3 linked regions of the Drosophila melanogaster genome follow. The protein of the gene in region 1 purifies or fractionates together with the protein of each later gene. This does not show direct contact. Each region holds a gene or a part of one and is shown in the gene's direction. Other genes may lie near its edges.

Region 1 (5,685 bases):
GAACTTGAAGTGAAAAGCTAAGAAACTTTCTACACTTCTTTTTCCTATGCGTAGGAAAAATTCTAGAAAGTTTGGTTTGAAAATTTTAAGTTTAGAACTGAATAGTTTTGAGCTGTATACCCACAAGATATCATTATGCTTAGCAGAGTTACTTTTTCGTTAGAAAGTATCTTTTTTTGAAAAGTGAGCATTCGGTTTGCCTATTTTTTAGCAATCAGCTTCTGTTCGCTGGGAAAGCTGGCGAAATCGCAGAGCTTTGCTGCCGAGCCACAAAAGCTGTGCACTGCAGTTGGTTCGCTGCCGTCGTGAGGTGCAGTTGGAAAATCGCGAGAAAAATCAATTTTCCGAAAACTCCAAGCGTTCGCTGAAAATCCGCATCCATGAAGTGGGAGAACTACTGCGACTTTGTGGCCGGATGCTTTGGTGGTGAGTGACGGAGCGGCAGAGCTCCAGCTGGTATTCATCCCAATTTGGTCAGAACTCTGGGCCATGCATGACGCAATGCAGCAGCCGTGTGGCGATAGGCCACTTGTTGAGGGGAACTGCCTCAGTCCCGGCGGAAAACGGGCGCCATGGTCAAGTTCACGTGCGGCGCCCCTGATCCATCGGATTCTTGGCAAGCGGCTGTCGGCGGCGGCGGCCGTTCAACATGTGTTGTTTAACTTTGTGGCCACAATTTTAATTAATTTATGCTGCATTCTTGATTTTTATACTCTGATATTCAGGTGCCTGCGGGGTGCTGGTGGCCCACCCACTCGACACGATCAAAGTTTGGCAACAGGCCTCAAATTCATCCGTTGTGACAGCCATTCAACAGATCTACAGCAGAAATAATGGGGTAAGTTTGGAAAGAAGGATTGCGTCTAGTTGGAAACTTTTTTTCAAGGATACAAATTTTATGTGAAATATTTGGATAACGATGTACATGTCGATCTTCCAATCTCCTTTTTTATTCATAACTTTTCAAATATTTAAACCAGCCAAAATGGCTTTGTCCTATTCTTAATCCCGACTCCGACTGGACGCAATCCCTTAGAGCGCCTAGGTGGGTCGTGATGGGTTTAATCGATCAGCATCGCCTCAAAGGTCAACGGCTTCTACAGGGGCATGTTCTTCCCGTTCATCTCGACGGGAGCGATCAACTCGCTGCTTTTCGGCATCTATGGAAACCATCTGCGGCAGCTGAGAAAGGTGTGCCACAGTGACTACCAGCGGGAGCAGCTGGAGTACCACAACATGTTCCTGGCGGGCTCTGTGGCGGGATTCGTGCAGTCCTTCATCGCCTGTCCCATGGAGCTGATCAAGGTTCGCCTGCAGACAGCCACTTGTGGGTTCTACTTGATTTTTTAATCCCAAAATGGAGGATTAATTTGTGAAATTCCGTAGATTACAGTGACTATCTGTATGGCCAGAGAAGGACCGCCTTTGGCACGTTCAAAAGGATACTCAAGACTGATGGCATCTCGGGGCTCTATCGCGGCCTTTTGCCCATGATGTGCCGGTAAGTTAGTCCAGGTGGTAGTCCAAAAATACATGAATCTTTCAATGGTCGTTTGGTTACAGCGACGTCCTGCCCTATGGAATCTATATGCTGGCCTATCGCCAGGGCGTTGACTACATGGACAGGCGGGACTTTGTGCGCCGGCGACGCAGTCAGTCGGACGGATCCAGTGTGAACCTGCTGGTGACCACGCTGGCCGGCGCCTGGGCGGGAGTCATCTCGTGGGTGTGTGTCATTCCGTTCGACGTGGTCAAGACGCTGATGCAGGCGGATGAGAATCACAAGTACCGGGGCATCTTCCATTGCGTGCGGGTGCAGTACAGAGCCTACGGCTGGAGGAGCATCTTCCGCGGCAGCTGGATGCTGGTGGCGCGGGCGGTTCCCTTCAATGCCGCCACTTTCCTGGGCTACGAGTATGCGCTGGAGTGGTGTCAGCGGTGGAACGGCACCTACGTATGACCCAGGCAGTCTGGTGGAGATTAGGAGCCTTAGTTTGTATGCTGTGTACATTGTTGTCAACTGAGAATGAGTGTGATCGAAAAATGCAAACCTATTCTATAATTTACTTCAATGCTGTTTAACAGCACTAACAAATAGCTTTAATTGCCTCACTTTGTAAACGTTTTATCGTATCAACACGGGCTTAATATTTTCGAAATGCACCTCAATTTTGTAAGCTTTAAAATTAAAATGATGACAAATTGCGTCCATGAACAAGGTTATATTGCTGAGTATTTGAGATCTGCCTCTAAAGTTAGATCTAATTTTTTTAAAAATCTTTGGTTTGAACAATAGGAACAAGTTTTTGAATTTAGAAAACATTCAAATCGGTTTGAGTATGCGCTATCCGTGTTATCAACCATTTCTATGAATGTTGAAAACATCGAATTGGTGTGACCGCACTGCCAGAAGGCGAGTGTGTAACTCCGCAGTTTATTAGCACTGTTCTGCGAACGGTCACACCGAGTCGAACGATGAACAACAACACAACATCGCGTCGCGTTCGTTAAAAAACAGAGATAAACGCAAATCGAAGTAACAAAGTGTACATACAGCGTGCTATTTTTCTTATTTTCATCGTGCTGCACTTAATGACCCATGTCCAGTGAATATATGGGCAGACACATATGGTCAGCGCAAAAACGCAGCGAGTTGCAATGAGCAGCCGCCGAAAAAAATGGCAGGAAAAATTGTGCAAGTGAATTAATGTCGAATTGCGCACAATTTAATCTTAATTTTATTAGTGGTAGTATGTGCAGTTGTTTGTGGAGCCGCGAAAAGTTCGCAAAGTTCGCTGATTTTGCGAACGGGAGGCTCGCAATCGAAATAACGGTGTACAAGAAGACGAAGAGAAAAACAAACTGAAAAGCAGAGCAAACGGAAAGCAGAAAGACCAAAAGTCGGACAAAAACGCAACAGAGTGAATTGTGTTTCCACTGCTGCCCCCCACCCCCATTTCTTTTACCACCCCTCCCCCCATTGACAATCCATCCCAAAAAAATCAAATTACGTGGCAAGTGGTCAGGCGAGAACAACAACAACAACAACAAGAACAAAACCTGCTGCTGCAAGTTTTTTCCTATTTTTTTTGTTTGGTACCCATCTCTTTGCTTTTGGTTTACTGTACGTGCTGAAAACGCCCCCCAAATCCGCACCACCCACCACCCAAATAAACAAATAAAGGAGTACAAGAATCCCGCGTAGCCACCCCCATCGCCACCATCGAAATGTCGTCACTCAAGGTCGCCGTAAGGGTTCGACCCTTCAACTCCCGGTAAGCCCAGATATCCTACGCCTATTTATAGACACAGCCATGGTCAAGGAAATAGCAACACTGCAAATAGAATCTACACAGAAATAGGGTAGTCAAACTTAGCTTAGATCAACAAAAAGCACAGCTAAATATTCAAGATTATGTTTCTATGAATATGAATATTATCTTTAAAAAAAAACTACAATTCCCAATCTTAATCAAAAACTGAAATATTAAGTTGGTTGTGGAATATGTTCTAACAATCTCTTTTATTACTCAAAAAGCAGCTTTAATTTAGATTTTGAAAAATATGACTAAGCAATGGGGTGACGATGACTTTAAACAAAAAAGATATAGATTTGCCTTATTATTATGACCTCACTTATCATTATCATTATAGGAGAATGTTTGTTTGTTGGGCTTTCTATCGCGTATTAACTTTAAAACGCCCCTTGAAAAAAAGTATGGAATTTGGTTGCGCATTTCACTTAAAAAGCACAAAAGTGTCTAGAAAACAAATTTCGTTACAAAAAACCCCTTGAAATACATGTAAAAAGTGTACTAGACTGCCTACTTAAAACCACATTAAACCTTTTTATTTTTACCAGCCTTGTCTATGATCGTTAAGCATTTATGTTGCTGCTTGTTTTTTATTTTTATTTATTTTTTTTGTGTCTTTATCTTGGCTATCTGGCGCAGCGGTCATTGCTTTTGGCACAGTTACTTGCGAATAAAACCGAATCGAGAAAAGCGTTCGAAAGAAAGACGAACGCACCGAGAAGTTGGCAGAAGTGCCTCACAAAGAAAGATATGTACATATGTGTGCTAAGAAAGATACATTCCGTAATGATGTCATTCATCTCTGGCGTTCGATATAAAAATCACATTAACCCAAACAAAACGAGCTTTGTGCGCTGTGAGTTTACGGCTGCCGTGTGTTAATTGTGCATGAAATAAAACAACATTATCAGCGGCAAATGCTGTAATTATAATGGCAAAAAGTGGAGCTAACTCCCTGCCGCGTTGTGACATCATCGTTTTGGCTCAAACTTATGCAAAGCAGCTACTCACTATGACAGGGAGCACTCGATAAGGCAAACGGATACAAGTTGGATTAGTAGTCGATGATCACTTTGAATAATAATCCTAATTAGCAGTGTACATATGTACAAACCTCTTTAAATTTTTTAAGAGAAACCCGTTCTCCTTTTGGCAGCATTCACTGTAAATATTTTTGCATAGTTTCTTTGGCCTCCGGACGGACATTTTTAGCACATATTTCCACGGCTCCTCAGTGGACATGCAAGACTGACTGCTCACAGTAGCCTCCATGCGAAAACAAAAGCAGATATCTACTATAATTACGTATATATGTAAGTGTGCTTTATAGGCACTGCACCCGAAAAAAAGCAAACCAAATAAACATTTTTGATTTTGGCACGAAACTGGCCGAGCAAGTTCCACATCCCATCGCTCATGAGTCACAGCAGCGAAATTTGCTGGTGTCCCGCATAAATGTTTAATTGGGAAATGAATCAGATGCCGCAAAGAATTTCCCGCTGTTTGCCGGAGTTTTCTCGCTTCCCGTAATCTCCAGCTGGATGATGCACTCGCATTGGGCCAAAGATTAACGAATTAAAGCCACTCAAACGCAATGAGTACTGCGTCGACTTGAGTGGAGCGGCGTAATCGTGGCAGCCCATGTTGAAGATGGGGGGAATGACCCAAAATTGTCGCTCGAAATGGGACAAGGCACTACGGCTGCCATGGGATTCCTAGAGCTTTACAGTCGCAGAACAAACACCCTTTTCACTGCAAAGAAGACAGAACATTTGAGTAAAAGTTAAACAGTACAATCATGGGAACAACCCAACTCTCAAAGGTACAGAGAACAATTGGGGAAATAAATGAATACACAAAATTACAATAATCTACGCTAATAACTAATTGTTCCCCCAAATCTCACGATCTTCCCATAGTGCCGAATACAGACTGTAAATGAATGATGTGATCTTCTTCTGTCCATCTTGGCCTTAAAGTTATGATAGACGTCTATTTGGATCTATGAAGATGCTAAATCCACGTTTTTCCACTTTTTCGATGCCTGCTATCGTGCATCTTTTGTTTGCTTAGAGGCGCCTTTGCATGTGTTACTTTTTCAGCTGAAGTCTATTTCGATGTGTGGGTGCCCCTATGAACTCCAGTCAACCGGTTCGGTTCCATCTTTAAACGAATGTTCTATCTATGCCCAGACGCGAGTTTTTCATCTCTCTCTCTCTTTTTTTTATTTGCGCCGCTTTTCCTTTTGATGTTGCAATCAAGTCGTCGGTTGTTTCTTCTTCATTTCTGTATTCGCTACAAACCGGATTTTCTTTTATAATTTGTATCCAGCTAGCTGTGGAGCGTCGAGTCGTCTGATCACAGGGCTAAC
Region 2 (5,468 bases), on another chromosome or scaffold:
CGTGCAGCACTGTTTGCAACCATAATAAAAACAACGGAAAAAGTGTTTATTGCAATTTTAAAAGAGAGCAGTAAAGTTTATCTCATCTTTGGAGGCGCGATGGAGAGCGGATTTGATAAGAGCTGATAAGACGCAGCCAGCTTCGCAAGCACCTTTAAAAGCATGCTCAGTACCAAATCGCCTTCCATTGGGATTGGGTATCAACTCAAAGCGGATCCAGAATGCATTTCGGAGTCTTGGGAAGCGGTATCATTGGTCTTACGACCGCCTTAGAACTCCAGAAGGAGTTTCCCACAGCAAGGGTTTCCGTGATTGCGGATCGGTTTAACGAGGACACCGTCAGCTATGTGGCGGCTGGAATTTTCCGACCTGGAACCAGCTTTATGGGCCCCACCCAGAAAATTACGCAGTGAGAATCTGTTTGGGATTCAAACACACCTGTTGTGCATCTAACGACTTTTCTTTTCATCGTAGACAATGGATGACCGATGCCTTCAACTACTGGGATGAGCTGCGTCGCTCCAAGGAGGCTCCTCTGGCGGGCGTGTGCCAATTATCCGGCTATATTTACTCCCGCACCTCCCCCTCCATCGTACGGGTACGTTGCCGGGCAGTCGACAATCAGTGATTCTTATCTTCATCGGCTTAATTCGATTAACTTTGTTGTTGGCTGCCTTAGAACCACTTTATTGAGAAACTATTGCCCGTCTACCGAAGAGCCACCGAGGAGGAACTGAGGCTATGCAACGGCGGCTGGAAGTACGGATCCTTCTTCACCACATGCCTAACGGAAAGCCGCCTCTTCTTGCCCTATGCCACTAAAAAGTGAGTAGCTGTTTTATGATATGAAAGAGAAACAATTTGAAAATAATCGTAAATATTAACATATTGTAGATTCCTGGAGAACGGAGGAGAGGTTGTCCGTCAGCATGTGAACAGCTTTTTCGAAGTGCCGCAGAACATTGACTTGCTCCTTAACTGCACCGGAATGGGAGCCAAGGAGTTGTGTGGGGACCAGCACTTGGTTCCCATTCGGGGTCAAGTGCTCAAAGTGCGTGCTCCCTGGGTAAAGACGGCTTTCTACGGCGATTACGACACCTACGTTCTTCCCGGATTTGAGACTGTGACCCTGGGAGGATGTCGCCAATTCGACAGCTACAACACCGAGTGGTGCAAATACGATAGCATGGCCATTCGAGAGCGTTGCTACGATTTGCTGCCCAGTCTCCGGAAAGCGGAGATCGTGCGGGAATGTGTTGGTCTGCGGCCACACCGCTCCGTCGTTCGGGTGGAGCCAGAACTGATCACGAATCCGGAAGGCAGGCGGCTGAAGGTAGTCCACAACTACGGCCACGGCGGCTACGGTGTGACCACGGCTCCTGGAACGGCTATGTACGCAGTTCGATTGGTACGCGATCTACTAGCGGGAAACAGTAAACTGTAGGTGGTAAAATCGTTGTTAATTGTTGGTCATTAAACTCTTTATACTCAGAATCTTTGAACCCAGATTTGATTTGGATTTTTTATTGTGCAATAAACTAATTGCAGTTCTCAAGGTTGCGATATGCGCCAGTTCCAAAGGTTTCAAGAAGGAATATTTAGAATATTTAAAGAAACAATTCTTATAAATTTTATTTACTGTTTTTATGAGTTCCTTGGTCTATATTGTTTCAGGATAAGAACATGGGTTCACAAAGTGAACGAATAAATTCGCGCCCACGAATAAATTCAAATGAACCCCTGGGCCAGTGCTCCACAAGGCTGCGGAAGTGCGAAGTGCGCATGACCGGCGCATGAATGGAAAGCTCGCCCGAAATCGCCGCGAAAGCTACGCCCACACACAGACACCCCAGGCACGGAAACCCATCGATTTTCAGCAGCAGGAAAAGCAGCAGGGAAATTGTGTGGGCAGCAGCCAGTCATCCAGTCAGTCAGTTAGCCAGCCAGTCAGCCAGGTTGAAACAGTTGAATTATGAAAACGTATACAAAACTGGCCCGTTTTCGCCGCACCAGTCAATTCGCCGCCTGAGAGCGAAGAAAAAATTGAAAATTGTGTGTCCTTTGGTGTCGACGTGTCGAGGCAAAAAGGTAGAACAGTTGGTGCGTTGCATTTGCTGAATAATTGAGCCACTGCAGCCGGAGTCAGTTCAATTCTGGCCAGACGAGTGGGTCCGCGGGCGTGTGAATAGTTGATTGGGTAACCGTAAACAACTCGACGAATCAATCGACGTGAAATCGCGGCGTATGTCAGTCCAGTGCCAAGGCTGAGTCGAGTCCTTTTCCTTATCCCTTCAGCGAAAGGAGCTGCCATTATCGATTTGTGTGTATGTGCGAGCAACAACACGGCGTACCTCTCACCCACACATCGAAAACAGCAGGATATTCTTGTGACAGCAGGATCTGCAGCAGCACCATCATAAACAGCAACTGAGATATTAGCAGCAGATACTACTGTAACCGCAATAACCTCAAGAAAGAGTAAGTTTATCTGACACATTAAGTATCCGCCATGATGGACCAAAATGGGTGAATGGGGGTACTAGTTCCAGCTAAAACCAAAATACCTGAGTTTTCGCATCAAAAACTTTGCAGTATCAGTTCCATATTGTCAAATAATGAGGCCGTTGGTTGGAATTTATTATTTTTACATTAAACTTCATTGATTTTGACATTATAAAGATTACACATCAACTTTTTAAAAGTATTTAAAAGGTATTTAATAACTCAATGTTACTTTTATAGTAGTTCCAAAAAAACTTCTGATGGATTTCAGCTTAGTGTATCATATCTTATTGACAATAGATATGGGCTATACATACATATGAATGTGGCCAAATAATACATATGTAGTTTTACAACTTCCAGGAAAGAGTTAATTGTTTATTCCCATTGATTGATAACTCGGTATTTATGCACATGCCTAATATTTACGTTTGACAACAAACCTTAAATTGAAACTTTTCCAATTGGAACCGTTAAGGCAGGATTGAGTTCTCGTTTTGGCCAATATTGGGTTTCTTATCAATAATTAAACAAGCCCGCAGCTGCCGACCGCTGAACAGCTGCCAAATCATTGGAAATTTGAAACATGAAAGAGCAGTTAAGGGGGTGGGTAATGGGGGCAGGGTCTGGCAGCCACCCCCACGCAGGGGGAAAACAACAGAAAAATCGATAATTACACGCAGTCGAGCAGATAAAAACATTTCCACACAGCGCCTGTGATAAGGGCCGTCTGCCGTTGAAGACCTCTTATTGCGGCCCCTCTTTGGTGTCTGCGTTTGGGTTTGGGTTTGGGTTTGGGTTCGGGCCCCTCCAGGATATTTCTGGGCCTGAAGAGGCTTGACAGGAGCGAAGCCTGTCCTTTTGCCAGCAAAATCCTTGACGATGACGCGCGCACTCGGTCCTTCTACACCAAGTCGTTCATCAGCAATCTGACAGCGTTTTGCCGCTGCGCAACTTCTGATTCTGGACGGGGGAAATAAGGATGAGCGGAAACGGAACCAGGAGAACCAGGCTATATACACAAATTATCGACACAATGTCGCCGCCTTCATTGCATATGGAAAACAGGCAGCCAACCATCCCGAATGGCAAACTGTAAGCCGAGACTGTTGTCACTTGCCCAAGCCAAGGCTGAAAGTTTTCAAGGCCGCACCAGCCCACCAGCCCACCAACCCGCCGTTCAGCTCTGAAATTCGCTTTGAGTTTTCCCAGTGACGTGACAGGGATAATCAAGTGGGTCCTTTCCCAAGTCAGGCCGCTAAAGCCAACCCCTCCCGCCTACTCCAAGGATTAAAAGTCAAGGGAATTGGGGGGTTATGCTTTAGAAAATATAAACGCAACTTGTTTAATCCACACGCACGCGATTCAATCACTTCCGGGCACAGAGAGAACTCCGGTTGGCCACCAGTTGGCCTTGACCGGTGTTTCATGTGCACCATCTAGCCCCACCGGTTCTTCGTGCAGCATGGACCACAAATGGAGTGTCTATGGATGACATAAAGGTTGATAATAGCACATTAGCTACTCGACCAGCTCCATGCGAATTCCGATGTTGACGCCATCGCCCACGCCGCAAAAGGCATCGGCCTTGCAGCCATTCTGTACACCCATGTTTCTTCCCGTTCCTCTGTTATGGATCATTAGCTCCTCCGGTGTATCCTGATGGATGCCGCACTTGGACTTGGATTCATTGACACCGCTGAATATCACAATGCCAGGATTGCAAAAGTTACCCTGATTGGGAGCCATCATAGGCATCTGAGATGGCTGTTCCAGTTGCCTAGGCGAATCCTTCCGCATCAGCGTAGTCATGCATATGCTAGTGTTGCTGCTACTAGTTATTATGGTCGTGGTATCTATGGTCTCAATTAGCTGACCTTCATCCTCGGAAGCAGCGATGGCCGCCTCGCTTGCTTGCTCCTGCTGAGCTTTCAAGTCGCTTTCCCTTTGCCGCTCCAGTTCGCGCTCTAGTTCCAATTGCTGCTCCTGCTCGATACGTTCCTCTTCGTGCTCCTCCTGAGCTTGAGCCTGGCATAGCTCCACATGCATTCTGGACAACTGGGCGGCATCGTATGGGCAGAAGCAGTTTAGGCTTACAACTCGATTGCCCATGTGCTGGACTGGTCGGCTGTTACGGGCTATGGGCGAGATCCCATCCGGACCTAGGAGCAAACGAAAGTGACGCAGCTGAAAGTCGCTAATGGCTAGGGATTCGGGAAAGATGAACCATTCGGTGCCCTGGTAACAGGGCGGATGGGTCAGCGAACCGCCGTAGGAATAGAATCCAGATCGAAATTGATACATCAAGTAGGATATGGGAAATGGAGAAATCTGGACACGCTTTCCAGGCTTCTGAACCAATCGCAAATTCTGCACCAGGGGATCCAGGAACGGATTGTGCGCGGATAGCTCAAAGACGTATCCGATCATCAGGAGATCATAGCTGCTGGTGCAAGTACGGGGAATACCCGATCCCGTTTTGTGCATCACCTGCATCTCAAGTGGGAACTTTCGGTGGTTGATCGTATGCTCGGATCCCTCGCTGTTGCACCAGCCCCAGTGGAAGCGCAGTTCCAGAAACGTATAGCTGGCCAGGAGATCAGCTCCACTGATAGTAGGTGCATTACCGTGGAACTGGGCACGGAGGATAAGTGTCTGACCCGTATTCTCCAGAGTGATGCTGGCGGGCAGATCATCATAGTGGTTCCAGCTCAGCAGCTCTCTTATGGCCATGCGTTGAATTTGAGATTCATCGATGTTGACTGGGCTCTGGAAGAAAGTCGCTTCCTCCACAGAACTGGAAGATGACCTGGACTTCGGCAACCAAGTATGCGGACCATGTTGCATGTCGTAACCGTATACTGGAGCAGAATTTCTTGAGCAAGATGTGTTCCCAAATTGAAGTGGAGTCCTAATCAAAAGGAGTACACGCTGATATATCTCCTTGAGTGTTTCCTGATCCGCGT
Region 3 (4,907 bases), on another chromosome or scaffold:
GCCGGCGCTCAGGTTGTAGATCTTCACATCGTTAACTTCGTTTACGAACATCTTGAGGGACGATTTTTGCTCAAAATTAAAACATAAACAAACGAAGTCCGCAACACGTGCGCCCTCTATCGATAGACACGATTGTCGATAGCATCTGGCTGCGATAAGCACCTATCGCGGCAGTGTGACCCTTGGCTTGCCAATTGCTCAGTGTGACCGCAGGAAACCAAGCAAAACAAGAGAACGCAAAAGCAGTGAAAAAAGACTACTGATTTGCATCGACCTACCAATTGAAAATAATCGCAATAATTGCCTCTCGGTGCAGCCCCGCAACCCCGCGAAGCCAGTGTGCGTGCTAGCACGAAAGTGAACTGCATTTTGCATCGCCAAATTGCCCAAAAATTGCAATCGAATTCCGCACAGCCAAACAACAATACGCACACATACACACAGTACCCCCCGCTCTGCGTAACCGCCCTACGTTACACATTCCGTTCGCTCCCTAAGGTGGACTAAAACTAAAGTGATCTAAAACGGTGAGTAATATTCGTTGTTTTTCCTTAAGCCAATTAAACACTGATTAAATTATGCGAAATGGAAAACCGTCTGCGAAGGGGTGACGCAGTGCAGCTGTGGGTGCTCCGCAACTTTCCCTTGTGCTCTCGCTCTCTCTTGTTTTTGTCGTTAGGCAGCAGCACTCCATTGTTGTTGTATACACCCCCTGATTGCTTTGATACCCTGCAATGGGGAGTTACTGTTTTGTGACCAAGTTAAGAAAATAAATATGATTTACAAAAATCGATTAATTCTGGGGATGTTTCAGGTTTTTATGGTGTATAATTTATTTTTTGAATTTTTAGGGGATGGTGGGGCAAAAACGGCCGCCACTCTACTTAAAAATCGGTAGGTGAGGAGTTTGTTTAGTATACGCTATAAATAAATACTCTAAATTAGTTTTTATAAGATGGATTATTATATGAGTGTATGAGTTATCATAGAAATATTTACCTGTGCTTATATATTAATTTATTATATGAATTATGCAAACAAGGTTTTTTCAAAATGTAGGCGAGCATGAATAAAAAATTATAATAAATCAGAAGTTTTCTTAGTAGTTGTTATCAGTTATTAATATATTTCTTTTTCATTTTGTTGTGTCTTATTGCGTTGTTGTCTTCAATGCGGGCTTATTTTATTAGTTTGAATGGATGTGCGCTTATTTGTAGATACTCAAATATCAAATCGTATTCAGTTATATCTTAGAAATGGAATATAAAGCGCACATTTATAAAAGTATATTTATATTTAAGATTTTTTGCCAAAGGGTATACATACTTCGTCTGTGTATAAATATATATTTCTCATACTCCTTTCGTTATTTTCCCTGTTATGGGTGCGCCGCTGTGTTCCTTTTATGAGGGGCAATGATGATCCACTTCCATTCAACACATTTTGCAAATAAGTACATATGTACTTCGCCTCCATTGATTGCTCCACTGATGTTTGGCCTTTGGCGCTTGACTGATAAGACTCGAGACCGAGACCTACTACTTAGTTAGTCTAAACTGCCCGTCATAGAGCCTATTAAACTGATATGCACTTGTCACTTTGACAAGCAATGATAAGCGATTATAACTGTATTTGATGATTTAAGTATGAGCAATTAAGAATCCATAATTGATACTCATCTTTTCACACTATATGCTGCTAAGTCACATTCTTTTGTATGAAATTCATTCATATGAAGTAAGGCAGGATGATTACCCTAAATACAAACTAACTTGATGAATAACTTCGCGCGTACTGCTCTTAATAATTGAATTCCCACGATTGCTTGCTCGGCGACCTTGATCCAAATCGCTTTCAGCTTGGGCGAAGGGTTCAATTCACTCTCTTCAGCGCCCCTTAACTGCGGACAAATCAAAGGCTTTCGAACGACACGGATACTGCGAATGGACAAAGTCAAGTGGCATGAAGTGGATATACCCGCCGCTCTTGAAGCTTGCCTCTTTCTTATTTTTTTTTTTTTTTGGCTTCAGTTGGCAGGCAAACAAACCCGGTCGGCTGTTCAAACACAAGCAGGCCTTAAAAAGAAATATCGGGGCCAGTTCGAGAAAGGGGAACAAAATGTGGTGTCGACGCAGAACAAATTAATGCAGCGCCTCGGTTTGTTGATAAGCAGCGACTACGGTTGGACATTCAAATGAGGAGCTGATAGTAGTAGTTAACACTGTTTGATTGGGTCAGAGTTCATTTCTGCCGGTGTCAAGATGAGCAAAGTGCGCAGCGTGGTGAACAAACTGCACGAACGCATAGACTACTTTATTGAAAAATGTGTGAAATATTCTATATACTCAATGACTCTGCAATGTAATAATAATAATAATTTCGCTTGCTTTTTAGGTCCCAACATGACTGCAGCGCCATACAACTACAACTATATCTTTAAATACATCATCATTGGTGACATGGGCGTGGGCAAGTCCTGCCTGCTCCACCAGTTCACCGAGAAGAAATGTGAGTAGACTGTGCTGAGTAATAATGTATGTAATAAGAACTAATCTCTACTTGCCGTCCTGCAGTCATGGCCAATTGTCCTCACACCATTGGCGTGGAGTTCGGCACACGCATCATTGAGGTGGACGACAAAAAGATCAAGCTACAGATCTGGGACACAGCGGGTCAGGAGCGATTCAGGGCAGTGACACGCTCCTATTACCGTGGAGCAGCTGGTGCGCTGATGGTCTACGATATTACCAGGCGGTAAGCGAAGCAAGCTACTATTTGAGAAATTGCTTTACAACTTGACCATTCCAGCTCCACGTACAATCACCTGAGCAGCTGGCTTACCGACACTCGCAATCTCACCAATCCCAGCACTGTGATCTTTCTCATTGGCAACAAATCGGATCTGGAGAGCACTCGGGAGGTTACCTACGAGGAGGCCAAGGAGTTTGCCGACGAGAACGGCCTAATGTTTCTCGAAGCGAGCGCTATGACGTGAGTTTCAACTGGAAGCATAGTGTTTGAGCATATACTGATTATCTTTTTTTTTATCGCCCAAACAGTGGCCAGAATGTGGAGGAGGCTTTTCTGGAGACCGCACGCAAGATTTACCAGAACATCCAGGAGGGTCGGCTCGATCTGAACGCCTCCGAGTCCGGAGTTCAGCACAGGCCATCGCAGCCGTCGCGAACTTCGCTGAGTAGCGAGGCTACGGGCGCCAAGGATCAGTGCTCGTGCTAAATGAATGATGGAACCTAACTTTACGCAAAACCTAGTTATACAAATCAACTTTTATTTTTAGCCGACTCGTAATCTACCGATGCCCAAGCAAAAACCAATGTATGTAGTTAAATAATTCGATTAAGCATCAATGTGTGAGCCAACAACAGCGACAGCAACCACAAAAAAAAAAAAAAACAGAAAAAGAAAATATAAAGTCCTTTCGCTTAATAAGACGCAAGCATTGCAACATTTATTGTATCGGTTAAGCATAAATACTAGAAAATTAAACATGTTTGTTGGCGCAAACTAAAGTTTTGACCATGAAATTTCGAAAAGTTTATCGCACTAACACCATCCTTCGGTCTCAATTTATAGATGAATTCGTTTGAGATATAGATCATGTTTTTGTTGGCTGATGAATCCCTGTATATAATATATATATGTATGAATTTTTGTATCTCCCTAATTTTTTGTTGAGTATTTGTTGTTGTCGCGTGCAAGAATTGGAGGAAACGATCAATGTTATATGAATATTTACGATGTATTAATGGCATAATGCAATAGGAAATAAATAAAATGGTATTTATAAAACCCCTACCAATAGAAATGAATTTCTCTTTCAAATAATTTAAATTTTAATTTGCATATTTAACCATTCGTTTATATTTAATTCTACACCAAATCGCTGGATAATTTTATAATTTACCGGATTTCCATTTAATAGATTTAAATTTTATAAATATTTGGGTACTTACGATTTACTTAAATATTTTGTAAAAAGCTTTTTTAATCCATTTAGTGGAATACCCTCAACTTTGACTTGCGCATAACTTCATTCTTGTTTTATTTAGTGATGCTAACGTTGGGTTGGAAATCAGCTGATTATGACTATGAACAATAAAGTTTGTAAGTCAAACAACGATTTTTCGTATACTGTTCTTTTGTTTGTTGCTGGTTGTCTAATTAATCATTTTAACTGGTTATCAGTCCAATTTTTGTTTTCTACACTACACTATTCTACACTATTTTCGATTTCCTTGAAATTTAGCGGGAAAAACTCTGAGCTAGCATCTTCGGTGGCATCGCTGTGTGCGCGCTTTTGTGCGAATGCCATGGTATGCAAATTAAATTTAATTTATTCCGATCATCATGAAAGTGACAAAGTAGCTGCTTAAGTAGCCAGGGAAGCGCACAACGTAATCTAATCTCGATCCATGATGCAAATCAAGCGCCTCCTGTGCAAATCCTGCGGCCTGGGCACCCTTCTGGTGGCGGTCGTCTGGCTGCTGGCGCTGCTTTTCTACTCGCACAGCCTGCGCAGCTCCATCCGCTCGGCAGGATGGAGGATCGACGAAGGGAACGCAACGCCACGGGCCGAGCTGAGCTACCAGGCCAGGGTCACCGTCGGATGCACTCCAAATGCCAGCATTACCACTGGCGAATCGCCGGCGGCACCCAAGCCGCCCAGTGATCCGGAGCAATTGGAACTGTTGGGTGTGGTGCGCAACAAGCAGGACAAGTACATACGCGACATTGGCTACAAGCATCACGCCTTCAACGCGCTGGTGTCCAATAACATAGGACTCTTCCGGGCGATCCCAGACACTCGGCACAAGGTGTGCGATCGCCAGGAGACCACGGAAGCGGAAAATCTGCCCCAGGCCTCCATAGTCATGTGCTTCTACAAC

What was found. Proteins that work in one complex are often made in the same cells at the same time.
Region 2: the proteins of Klp98A (region 1) and Rab3 purify together in Drosophila melanogaster (affinity purification with western blotting, with the first as the bait; one study listed by BioGRID). This does not show direct contact.
Region 3: the proteins of Klp98A (region 1) and Rab14 purify together in Drosophila melanogaster (affinity purification with western blotting, with the first as the bait; one study listed by BioGRID). This does not show direct contact.

What each region holds. Positions count from the first base shown.
Region 1 is NT_033777.3:27,555,916-27,561,600, reverse strand, and holds the start of Klp98A (Kinesin-like protein at 98A), read left to right. Parts: upstream 1-2,455; 5' UTR 2,456-3,228; coding exon 3,229-3,275; intron 3,276-5,685. Other genes in the region: CG5646 (uncharacterized protein), read left to right, coding at 381-426, 726-838, 1,087-1,327, 1,387-1,501, 1,564-1,960. UniProt on the Drosophila melanogaster protein: Plus end-directed motor protein involved in asymmetric cell division of sensory organ precursor (SOP) cells by playing a role in the asymmetric localization of Sara-expressing endosomes to the pIIa daughter cell but not to the pIIb cell.
Region 2 is NT_033778.4:10,725,615-10,731,082, reverse strand, and holds the start of Rab3 (Rab3), read left to right. Parts: upstream 1-1,879; 5' UTR 1,880-2,478; intron 2,479-3,810; exon of another isoform or gene 3,811-4,023; coding exon of another isoform or gene 4,024-5,468. Other genes in the region: Daao1 (D-amino acid oxidase 1), read left to right, coding at 222-409, 475-598, 680-825, 895-1,444; CAH13 (carbonic anhydrase 13), read right to left, coding at 4,024-5,468. UniProt on the Drosophila melanogaster protein: Involved in exocytosis by regulating a late step in synaptic vesicle fusion. Could play a role in neurotransmitter release by regulating membrane flow in the nerve terminal.
Region 3 is NT_033779.5:14,354,947-14,359,853, forward strand, and holds Rab14 (Rab14), read left to right. Parts: upstream 1-2,094; 5' UTR 2,095-2,261; coding exon 2,262-2,325; intron 2,326-2,334; exon of another isoform or gene 2,335-2,394; coding exon 2,395-2,508; intron 2,509-2,573; coding exon 2,574-2,754; intron 2,755-2,808; coding exon 2,809-2,991; intron 2,992-3,059; coding exon 3,060-3,237; 3' UTR 3,238-3,818; downstream 3,819-4,907. Other genes in the region: l(2)34Fd (lethal (2) 34Fd), read right to left, coding at 1-51; Pgant35A (polypeptide N-acetylgalactosaminyltransferase 35A), read left to right, coding at 4,434-4,907.